Caenorhabditis elegans: one gene and its partner. The protein of the gene in region 2 purifies or fractionates together with the protein of the main gene of each other region. This does not show direct contact. Each region holds a gene or a part of one and is shown on either strand. Other genes may lie near its edges.

What was found.
Region 1: the proteins of hacd-1 (region 2) and mam-3 fractionate together in Caenorhabditis elegans (co-fractionation; one large-scale study listed by BioGRID). This does not show direct contact.

What each region holds. Positions count from the first base shown.
Region 1 is NC_003282.8:13,441,413-13,448,242, reverse strand, and holds the start of mam-3 (MAM domain-containing protein), read left to right. Parts: upstream 1-2,867; 5' UTR 2,868-2,976; coding exon 2,977-3,118; intron 3,119-3,837; coding exon 3,838-3,965; intron 3,966-4,396; exon of another isoform or gene 4,397-4,498; intron 4,499-4,741; exon of another isoform or gene 4,742-4,859; intron 4,860-4,927; coding exon 4,928-5,094; intron 5,095-5,482; coding exon 5,483-5,745; intron 5,746-5,984; coding exon 5,985-6,166; intron 6,167-6,830. Other genes in the region: uso-1 (Uso1_p115_head domain-containing protein), read left to right, coding at 1-161, 206-951, 1,375-1,518, 2,068-2,211.
Region 2 is NC_003283.11:1,457,731-1,463,356, reverse strand, and holds hacd-1 (3-hydroxyacyl-CoA dehydrogenase), read right to left. Parts: upstream 2,989-5,626; 5' UTR 2,970-2,988; coding exon 2,697-2,969; intron 2,575-2,696; coding exon 2,471-2,574; intron 2,425-2,470; coding exon 2,018-2,424; intron 1,963-2,017; coding exon 1,847-1,962; 3' UTR 1,744-1,846; downstream 1-1,743. Other genes in the region: fpn-1.2 (Solute carrier family 40 member), read left to right, coding at 1-477, 975-1,294.

The DNA.
Region 1 (6,830 bases), on a different chromosome or scaffold from region 2:
AAATCATGTCTGCCAACTACTTGTTTCTACTGGAAATCGCCGACCACAGACCAGAGCCGGACTCCTGATGCTCCTGGGAACGTGGCTTCAAAATTGCCCAGCCGCAGTTTCCGATTTTATGGCTAAAGACGAGCATATACAGTATTTGACAACTAATTTAGGTGGGAACGGTTATTCAATTTTAAATAATTTTCAAAAGTTTAAGTGGATGAATGTGGTGAAGGATCGGAGAGTGAGCAGCAGGTTCTACGAGGACTCATGGCTTTTGTTCTACTATCGTGCTTGAAGAATTTACAAAGTAAGGAAGCACGATCATCGATGGAAATATTGATTCAAAGACGTGTTGGAAAGGAATTGATTCTGTCCGCATTGGAGGGACTTTCAAGAACCGAGCAATTTGTTAGAGCAGCACAAAAGCAGCAGCCGACAAATGAGCTTTTCCTCGATTTCCACTTTGTTAAACTTTTCAAATCTCTCGAAGGAACGTTGGCTAAGCAATTGAAACCGAATGGAGAATTTAATGGAACTAGCAATGATAGCATCATTCAATCATATAAAGAACTCATAAAACGGCAAGATGGTGATATTGCCCAATTGAAGCAAGACAATAAGCGAATGAGTCTTGAGATTGAGAAATTAAATGCAGAAGTTCAGAATAAGCAAATGGAACGAGAAGTTGAGAATCTTCGTGTGAGATTAGAAGAATCTGAAGCATTTAAAACTCAAAATGAAGTGCTGAATAGTCAGCTAGTAGAGTCACAGAGACTCACACAACAATGGTATGCAGAAGCCGAACGATACAAGCAATGGGCTCAACAATGGCAAGCCTATCAGTTGGCACAGCTTCCGAATGGTGTAGAGACGGGATTGGCTCAGCTTCAGCAACAAGTCAACGAGTTGGAGCAGCAACTCGGATTTGGATATCAGGCATTCGAACAGCAATCACAAACGGTATGGTAGACAGGAGATTTTATCAGAAAATCGAAAAATCGAAAATTTTCGTTTTTTCGAAAAAAAAATTTGTCGATTTTTCAAAAATTAGCTTAAAATTTTGGTCAGGGTTCTTCTTTTTTTGATGAAAATATTTATTTTTTTTCTCATCAATAAAACAAAAATTTGATTTTGTAAAATCATATTTTGTGGTTAATTTTCGGAAATTTTTTTCGATTTTCCGGAAAATCGAAAAATCGAAAAATGACACAATTGGATCAAAAAACTAAACATTTAAATCTGCGAAAATCAAAAAAAACCAAAAAACAATTCGATGCTTAAATTTATTCGAAAAATTTTTTTTCGGCTTCCGTTTGGTCTAAAATAAAAAAAATAACCAAAAAAAAATAAAATAACCATAAAAATAAAATTTACATATTTCAGATGCTCCACTATACATCAGAGAATGCAAATCTTAAAGATAGACTCGCGAAAACGGAAGCTGCTCTCGCTGAAGCCAATTATAAAATTGAGCAATTGAATTTGAAGCCAATTTCGAATGGAATAGTTGTGGAGCACGAACCACAGGTAGAATTCGAGTGGAATTTTCGAAATTTCAGGAATTTCTAGAAAAAACACTGAAAAAGTATAATTTTATTGGAAAAGATGGAAAATCTTACCAAAATTATCGATTTTTTCATTAAAAAATCGAAAAAATGTGTAAAATTTCAGTTTTTCGAAACCTTGATTTTTTAACAGATTTCTTTTTTTTAAGAAGGAAAAAATATATATATATATAAAAATAGTTATATATTTGAGGTTAATTTGAGCAAAACTTGATAAAATTTCAATTTTTTTTTTGAAAAAAGCTGAAAAAATAATAAAAAATTCTAAAAATATCAAACACTTAAAATATAATTTTTCTATGAAAAAATTAATTATTTCGTTTTTCAAAAAACTACTTTTAAATTTTGGTTCGATTTTTTCTGAAGAAATTATTTTTTGCTACAGATTTTTCATCCACTTTTTCATTTTTTTTTCAATTTTCTCTGGAAAAAAACTAAAATAAAAACGTTTCGATGAGTAGCTTTTGAGCTTTATCTCAGTGAAAATAATTCAAACATTTCAAATTTTCAGGCTGACTCCGAAGAGTTTTCAAAACTGAAACAAGAACAAGAAGAACTTCTGATGCTTCTCGCTGATCAACACAATAAAATGTCAGCCTACCGACGCCTTCTTCGAAACCTAAAACAGCCAGTGACAGATGATGAGGACGAGTAATAAGGCTGTGGGATTACTAAAAATCGGGTTTCTTTTTTGTTTTCTTTGGGGGGTCAATCTTGTCATAGAACATGTAATACTTCCAATCAACTTTTCTTTTTTTAAATCGAATAGGTTTCCTGTATAATATTTAATTTATAACGCATACACCGTACTTTCGCAGGATTTTTTAAGTGTCTTCTTAAAGGCGCACAGGTTTTTTTCAGATATGTTTCGGCTTTCTTGTTTTTTTTTCTCAAACTGATTTAAAACAATTTTTAACTTATGTGATAAATGCAAAGAAAATAAACAAAATTAAATACCATAAAAATTTTTTTGGGCTCGCCGAGACCCATAAAACCGTGCGCCTTTAAGAAGACATCTCAGAGATCTTGTAAATCTACGATATCGTATTCGCCGTGATTTTGCTGGCAAAATATTTTCTTCCTGTTTTTTTTGTATCCCTACCTACTCTTTCCATTTCGTTCAAACCACACTGTCTTCTGTGATACCGAAATTATGTTTTTTTTTTCCTTTCAATTTTATTTATGTAAAACTTAATAGTAAATATGGTCCAAATAAATTATTGATTGATTCCGAAATCCATCATTCTCTCTCTCAGGTTGAATGGGGATTCGGTGAATGATCAAATGATATAACGAACCCGTCTATTCTCCATATCAATAGTGATTCGGAAGCCGGTTCGTTCCTCTCGCCTGCTTCTCCTGGCCCGCGCATCTGCCATTGTTCTTCGCCTGTACACACCCTTTTTGCCTCTCGAAAATAATGATCTGGAAGAAATTTGCACTTTTGCTCATTTTTCTACCATCTCTAGAAGCATGTCATGCTCAATTTCAAAAAGAGCTTCGATATTTAGACTTGTATCTTGGTATTAGGCCAGATAATAATGGAGAGATTCCTGTGGAAGGTTGGTTTTTTGGTTTTTTGAAGGAATTTACTGTTTTTTGCTCCGAACGAAAAAAGTCTAAATTTTCGATTTTTTGGAAAAATTCAATTTTTTTTCAATAATTTATGGCCACATCCCGATTTTTTAAAAATGTTTTTTTCAACATTTTCCAGTTTTTTTTGGATTTACTCTGAATTTTGACGAGATTTTTTTTTCCAAAAATTTAAGCTTTATCGGAAATTTACTTGATTTTGTAGTTCCTTATTAAAGGCGCACGGAATTAAAAGTTCGCGGTAGTTTAATTTTTATTTAAACTTTGAAAACTGATTGTCAACGATTTATTACAGCTGAAAACCATGTGATTTCATTGAAAAAAAATACAATACTACATCCAATGAACAAATAAAACTACCATAAACTTTTTTGCGCGCCGAGGCCCGTCTGAATAATTCCGTGAGCTTTTAATGAAGTACTTCAAAATCTACAGTAGTACAGTAGTAGTAAAATTACGGTATTTTATCCAGATTTCGCTAATATTTCGCTAATTTCTGTAACAAAAGTATGTAACAACAATAAATCAGCCGATTTTTACTTTCATAAAAAATCTGGTTTTAGATTCGTTCTTAAAAATTAGTGATAAATAAGCAATTTTAATGTGAAGTGTTTTTTTGTTTTTAAACAGCTAAAATTATCAAACCACGAGGATCTGCAAAAAAAAACCACAATCACGTGGATTTCAGAGGCCGTTGGATTTGCCACGTATATTGAGTCACCTGATGAACTCAACTGTGACTTTGAGACCGAATGTCTTTGGAGAAATGCGCCGACTGATAAGCTTTTGGATACCAGTGATTGGTGGTATTTTAAGGTTTGTTATTCATGAAAAACTTTCCTTCAAATGTCTTGTGCCATTCTATTCTTTTTTTGGAATATAAAACCTTTTCTGAGTGGGTCTTGTCACGATCTCAGTTATAGATTTCGCTGAATACAAACTTTGAATGTGGTATAATTGTTCAATTAGAAATAAAAATGTATGTGAAATTCCATATCCTACGCTATATGTAGGCCAGGGTATAATATACAATATTTAGCTTTCAGTTTTGAGACGAATAATATGTAAAAGATACCAACTAATTTTGGCAACTAATTGGTTTTATGAACTAGTTTTAACTGAAAGTTTCAAAAAAAAAACATTTCAAAAACTCGATTGAAAGTGGCAACATTTCGAGAATTTATTCAGACAATTCAATTATACAGTTCAACTTTAGAACCATTGGAAAGTTCACCAAAAATTATAGAAAAAATTTGGAACGCTTCACGAATTTGCGTGTCATCCTTGCGCAGGGGCCATGCTAATCTTCTCTGTATTGTTCCAATTTTAGTATATGTTCTCGGAAGAACGAACAGTTAGATTTACATTTCAATTATATAGGGACCATTTACACAGCAGCTGACATATTTGGAGTTATGTAAGACACTATGACTATGCTAGGGAAGTGGAGATGCAAATCGATATTGGTATCGCTATAGAATAGGTGCACAAATTATTGATCTACATCTACATTTGGTATAGTGTCTTACATAACTCCAAATATGCCAGCTGCATTGTTAATGGTCCCTATATAATTGAAATGTAAATCTAAATGTTTGTTCTTCCGAGAACATATACTAAAATTGGAACAATACAGAGAAGATTAGCATGGCCCCTGCGCAAGGATGACACGCAAATTCGTGAAGCGTTCCAAATTTTTTGACGATTTTGTTAGACAAATCTATAAATTCTATACTTACAATTTTTCAAAACTTTTTTAAAAAATTAAACAATTTCAGAAAAATGACGAGAAAACTTTCCCAGTTCAAATCCAGCCCGGAAATCCTGTAATTCCAAAAGGCGAACATTTTATAATTGCTGGAAATACGACGAAAAATCCGAATGGAGCAGTGTTGAGCAGTGCTCCAATTGCTTGTCAAAAAGGATTTGCCAACTTGACTTTCAGGTATTGTCAAAGATAATTTTAAGAATTTTAAGCACAAAGTTGGAGGGCCTAAATTTTTTTTGAAATAAAATGTGTTTGCTCTTCTTTGAAAGCTTAGATCTCTACTGTCTTTGCATTTTTTTTAATATGTAAAAAACGAACTAAGCGTTCTTCTATGATTCAATAGTTTGAAAAATGCTGATATAAAAAAAAAAAATCGAAATTTTTAGTAATCTTTATATGACGCACAATTTCTCGTTTTTACTACAAAAATATTGCTATTTAATATTTTCATATTAGATTTGAGTTGCCTGAGTAAAAGCTCACAAAGTATGCGATCGGCAAAATACTGTGCTCTAACTAACATAGATTCCAAAATAAAATTATAATCCCAGTTATATCCTTCTAGCTTCTGGCTATACAACAATGCTCAAGTGGAAGTTATCATCCTTCGAGCAATGAATCGTAGACGTCATCTTCAAGTCTTGCTCAGACCAAAAATGAAGTGTGATTTCTTGGGAGCCGCCAATGAGGAATGTCGTGTCGAGATTCCGCCGATTAAGGAACCGTTCAGAATTGGAATTCGAGCATTTGATCTCAAAGATAATACTGTTGGAAGTTTGGCAATCATTGATCATATCAGATATCACGGAAAGATTTGCCAGCAATCACGTAAGTTTTAAAGTTATTCGAGATATGAAGCAGTCAAAATCAAATTGGCGCGCAAAAAAAACGATATTTTTAATCCTTTTTTAAAAGATTTTGTTCTGTAAATTTTTCAAAATAAAACTAGATTTGTTAGAGAAGTTTTAAACTTTCACTGAACATCCAGAAAAATCCAATGCCTCACTCTTCATAATCTAACAAAATATCTCAATCACTCCCATTTTACCTAAAATTAATTATTCCAGCATTCCCATCATCATTCTCATCTCTTCGTATTCCTCCATATGATAATAGTCCACTTCAAAGAATGTCTGATTTGAGTTGTGAACGCCCGCTACGATCCTGTCGATGGGGAAATATGGCCAAATCTCAATTAAGTGAATGGAGAGTTGGTAGATCAATTGATCGATGGGTTGATATGTTTGAGGTTTGTTTTAATTAAATCTTGGAAATAAGATAATTTTTTAAACAACATTTTGAAGCATTGATATCTTCAAGCGAAATATGGGATCGAACCACTAAAGTTAATTACCGTATTTCCTCTATTATGGGGTTATTCAAGTAGTGTCGGAAAATTAAAAAGTGTAGAAAAATTACGTCACACATGTATTCAAGTAAATAAAAACATGTATTTAAATACATTTGTGACGTCACAAATGTATTTAAATACATTTCGCTACATTACTTGAATAACCCCATTAGTACTTCACCCCATTGTTCAACTTTCACAGCTTATATCTCAGTCATCGTTTGTCCTATTAAAAAATTGTCAACTAACAAAATATTTTTTAACTTTATTTCTATCATTTCGTAGTTAATAATACATTGATATCTTCAAAATGAACCGAGTTCAAAGTTAAGTAGTGGGGTGCAATACTAATAGAGGGAATACGGTAAAAACAAATTTTCGTCAGTATGTCAATAATTTAAAACCCATCCAAAGTGCAGAAAAGTGATGAAAAATGAGTTGTATGAAGCATTAGACAGGTATTCATCTCTATGAAGTGGCCTTTTTAACTGTTTGTTAAAAAATAATTGGGCAATCCACACGTTTTGAAAATTTCAACAGCTGAATACTCTCGGCCGACAAA
Region 2 (5,626 bases):
CGTACTGGTGCCAGATCTCATTCCCAGCTGCATTTGGAATGAGTCTTCTATTCATGACAGTGATGGGATTTGATGGATTAGCTGTAGGATATGGCTCAAGTGTAGGGCTTCCGGAATTTGTTATCGGAGCATTCAGATCCTATGGATCCGTGACTGCGATCCTTGGAGCGTTTTCCTACGCATTCTTCGAAAAGCGATACAGTGTCGCCACTTCAGGACTACTGGGATTGGTTGTTCAGCAGTTTTTTGCGGTTCTAGCAGTTATATCCGTGTTCCTCCCGGGATCTCCTATGAACCTTGGTGGATACTTTGGAAACTTCACTATGGGAACTTGGTGGCACGATATGGTTCACTCTTTCGACGGGAATAACGCTACAAACTTGGACCCACATGTTGATTGGAAGCACTTTTCGTCTGATGGTGTCAGTTTGGCCAGCATCTTTGTGTTCTTGATTGCGATTGCATCCGCAAGATATGGTGAGTTTGGGTTTTTTTTAAGGTGGTGTAGTCGAATTTTTTATTACCTTATCAGGCTCAAAATTGTCTGAAAACTCCTAATTTTATAATGAAACTCCTTGAAAAATTCTCAAAAAAAAGTTATGACGGCTCAAAAAATGGGCTAAGATTAGTTAAAATTGAAAATTTGACCGACTTGTCAAGCGGCTGGAAACTATCTTTTTTTGAAACCATGGTCAAAATTTAAGTATACAATGTAATTATCTTGTGTTTTAACTTCATATAGGTATTTTAAAGTCGATGGACGGCAAGTTTTGGTTTAAAAAAATTAAAAATCTCAAGTTGAAAACGCAACATAATTACATTTTGTACTCAAAATTTGACAGTAATTACAAAAAAAAAATTGTTTCCAGCCGCTTGAAAAGCCGGTCAAATTTCAAGTTTTAACTAATACATATTAGGAAATGTCAAAAAAATCAGGAATTTTTTAAAAATTAATTTTAATAATCAATTTTCAGGATTGTGGTGCCTGGATCTGGCTATCACTCACATAATGCAAGTCACCATCCCAGAACGAGAACGAAATACAGTATTCGGAATGCACAACGCGTTGTGCCAAACGTTCTCCGTTTTAAAAGATGTTCTAGTCATTATTCTCCCATTACCGGCAACTTTTGCAATTTGTATATTTATTTCTTACGGGTTCGTCTCTTGTGGTCATATGTTCTTTATTTATTACTTGGTGAAAACCAATAGCTTATCAACGGTTGGCAGGAAATTGTCACAACTACCAGAGAAGGAGGAAAAAGAAGAGAAAGAAGAATTTGAGAGGTTATAGATGAATTTATCTAAAAGATTTTTTTATAAGCAAATAAATAATTCATGAGCAAAATATAACAATTTTTATTATTGATCTGAAACTAAACTTTACAAACGTCTTATCATATATTTTTCAATAATCTTATTGTGAATAATCTTTGAATCGTTTTTCAAAAAATTGTTTTAAATTATTTTTTGGCAATATTTAAGAATTTCTAATTTACATTTGAAAACATAAATTTAATAGATACGCTCTTGAATATTACAAAGAAAATATATTAGCTTATTTGAAAAATACCAAAAAACTGTTCCAGAAATTTATTTTTAGTAAATATAGAGTTGCACCAGTTCGGTAGTGTACTTTTCCTGAGACAACTTACTTCAACTTGGGAATTACTTCAATGTGCCAATTTAGACATTTTCCATGTTATGGACATTATTACAAAAATTCTAGATTATCAAAAACTTCAAATGTAAATATTTATTTCTCTGAAACTATGACCTGTAAGAAGCAAAATATACATCAAAAAGCTGGCAAGTAGTGTACACAAAAAATATGCTCAAAAAGTGTTCAATACGTGTAGAATCCCTGCTTCGTTTTTCTGCCAAGCTTTCCTTCAGCGACCAATTTGTCCATAAGTGGGATTGGTGCAAAACGGGCGTCACCAGGGATGGTTTCGCGGAAGACTGAAAGATTAGAAAGGGTTCAATAAAACCTAGAAAAGGAGTTGGTAAATCTCACTTTTCAAAGTGCTCTGCAGAACATCAAGTCCAACATAGTCACACAATTCAATTGGTCCCATTGGGTAAGAAGTTCCAAATCGCATGGCTGTATCGATATCTTCTTTAGTTGCATCTCCACGTTCCAGCATGCGAATGGAGTCCATAAGATATGGGATCAATAGCCGGTTGACAATGAATCCAGGAGTATCCTTCGCGGCGACCGGCAGCTTTTTGATTTCTTTGCAGAAGTTGAACAAGAAATTTGTGGTCTCTGGAGAAGTTTCATCAGTTGATACAACTTCTACAAGCTTCATCACTGGAACAGGGTTGAAGAAATGAAGCCCAGCGAATAGTGCCGGGTTCTGAATAACTGGGAGCATTTGAGACAGTTTTAGAGACGAGGTGTTCGTGATAAGCATGCAGTTTCTGAAAAAAAAATTATAAAAATGTTTTAAAAAAATTTAATGCTCACTGTGGGCAAGTTTTCTGAATTGTCTGGAAGATGTCAAGTTTCAGATCCAAGTTTTCGGCCACAGCCTCAATCGCCATTGCAGCATCTTCGGCAGCGGACGGAATCTGAAATATTTTACTTCCAGATTTTATAGACCGGGTGTAGACAGCCTAAGGTGTAGCATAAGCCTCAGTCTTAGCCTAAGCTTAAGCCTAAGCTTAAGCCTAAGCTTAAACTTAAGACTTACATCAGTATGAATCTGGAGCAAATCAAGTTGAATCTGAGCAATTTCCTCCAAGGCTGCTGGTTCCATCGGAACGTCGGTCTTCTTCTTGCTAGCGACACGAATTAGATTTTTCTTGATAGTCTCTCTGGCCTCCAAAAGCTTCTTCTCGCTTCTACCGTACAAATTGACGGGATAGCCTGCCTGAAGACAGACCTGTGCGATGCCGCTTCCCATCATTCCGGCGCCAAAAATTGCCACCAGGGGCTTTGGGTTTTCGTTTCCGGATTGCACCATGTTTTGTGGGGGAAAATTTCTGAAAAGAGAAATGTTGAATTAAGAAAAATGATGGATGTTTTGATAAAAAGGATAAAAGTCGAGCAATTTTTTATGCAATGATAAATAAATTGTCAAAAACGGTTTTTTTTTAATTTTCTATTTTCGCGGTCAAGTGGAAAAAGCCATTGAGCTTCTGAAGCTCAAAAGTCCGGCAATTCGGCAAATCGGCATTGTGCCGGAAATGAAAATTTCCGGCGAATCCACAAATTGCCAAAATTGAAAATTTCCGACAAATCGGCAAACCGGTAAATTGCCAATTTGCCGAATTTGCCGATAAAAACGGCAAAATTGTCTGAATGCCCCTACATCTATTTTCAAAAGTGCGCTATAGAATTATAATTCTTTAAAAATATCTAGAAAAAACGGGAAATTTTTTGCCGGAAACGAAAGTTTAATCGGCAAACGGGAAGTTTGCCGAATTGCCGGATTTGTCAACAAAAAATTGGCCGAACCTTAAAAATTCGATTTTAAAAAGTGGTTAACAAAAAAGGTTAAAAATGAACGAAATTAAATGATTGCAAACTATTTTTCACAAACTAGACAATTTTATTACAAAAGTATCGAAGAACTAGAGGAATAGTCGTCTTTTTATACACAAAAAATGGCATGTGAACAGGAGAGTGGGCTGTTTTACAAAGATAACGTGTTGCTCTAAAAGTTGCTGATAAGACTCCAGAAAAAATCATGAGTGCTTTGAAAAAGGGGGAGTTTCCCGTTTTTCGGTTCCGGAGACTGTTGGTTCTTCGGTTATGGCGATTGCCCCAAACGTGGGGCGGAGCTTCTGATCTATTTGTCATCTTGTTTATATGGTTCAAGACTTTTTTTTTTGATGACTAAAAGTACTCCAAAAGTCAGCTGACATCGTTGTTGTAGTAGTAGTTGCTTTGAAAACGTTGCAGAAGAAGATCGGAAAACATTGAACAATTGGGAGCAATTTCCATCGGGATGACAATTTCAATTGGTTACATTTGTTGTAGTAGTTCCAATGGAAACTAGACTCAAGAATCAATGAGACTATGTTGTTTTAGTAGAACAAATAATTAAAAACTGAACAATATGTTTTTTTTTTCCAAGAGGCAATGCAATTTTTTAAAACACCTATGGTGGCTTAAAACTGAACGATTTTTTTTTGATTAATTACACTATGAATGCATTCAACAAGTTAAAATTTTACACGACATTCTCAAAAATTTGAAATTATTTGTTCCAAAATTAGACTTGGAGTTCCTACTTGAAAAACTTCTATTTTATAATATATTTTTGCACTTAAAATTGCTGAGATTTCACTACTTTTTTACTGCACAAAAAAAAGTGCCAAAATTTTTTCGAGAAGTTTTTAACTCGATTAATTCGTTTTTTTATACGTCGTCAATCAAAAATAAGTTTGAATTTTATATTAGTATTCGAACAAGCGACAATGCTATAAATTTCTCAAAAAGTGGCAAAAATTCAGTAACTGCCACATTGGCCATTTTGGCATCATAGGAAAGGTTTGCAAAACTTTCCCATTGGCGCTACTCTGCCTTTGACTTCATTAAACTGTAAGATAAAGTTCGGCCCGTGGCCGGCCTCAAAAAATATGGGTGGCCGAGTTAACCACAGATTAAAAAAAAAATTTCTGCTAATGATCCCATTCGTTGTTAATTACCGAGGGTTTTCTAATTTTTAAAGAAACCCCAGTGACACTTTGAAACTTGCTTCTTAATCACATGTTTGAATTAATACCATTTTTGAGGTTTGGCCTAGTTTTCGCTTTTTCTAGGCCACTTCAAAACTTTTAATTCCAATTCAAACGATACCATCATGACTGAGCGCTTGTTAACTATTCAAAAATGTGCTTTGTGCCTTTGTATCAGGTCGTCCCATAAGTTTTTGTACTTTTTTTCGAATTATCCACAAAACTTTTTCGGACAATTCTAAGATTTTATATTTATGGTAGCATGTCACCAACTTGTCACCTTAATGCAACATAACTCTGACATCCCAGGCCCCCGCGGTTCTTTAGAAAAACGAGTAACTATAGAATCAGCTTTTTACACCATTCCTTCTGGAGTTTATTCTACACCATCCATAGCTTAAAGTAATGGTTAATATATACTGTCAAGTAGATGCTTCCACACTCTTGTTTTAAATAATTATAAATTTAGTATAACTATTCCGGAAAAACTACTGTAGCTAAACACAATTGTTGAGGCCAATTAAATAGGGCGTCCGAGTTTTTGATTCCTGCGAAGCCGCTGAGAATGGAACGGGTGCATTGTTTATGTTTACGATAAGTGCACATCATGTGCAGTCAAAATTTAAAAAAAGTTTAATTTTTTCAGTCATGGGGAAATGTTATAATTGAGAATTTTGTAACCACACTATTTTGTACTTTTTAACAATTGGCTATAGGAGTGATTGAAGCATATATTGGTCCATTTAGTCCTCGGAATGAAAGATAGATAATTAAGTCTAGTGTTATTTAGAAGTGAATCTATGTATCATAAATAAAATAAAAAACTTTACTGGTGGCCTCTTCGTTCAAACAATCTACATGGCCAACCTCATGTGATACCCGGCATTTATAGTGTTGGGCTTCTAACTTATGGTTGAGAAATCAGCAAGTAAAACAA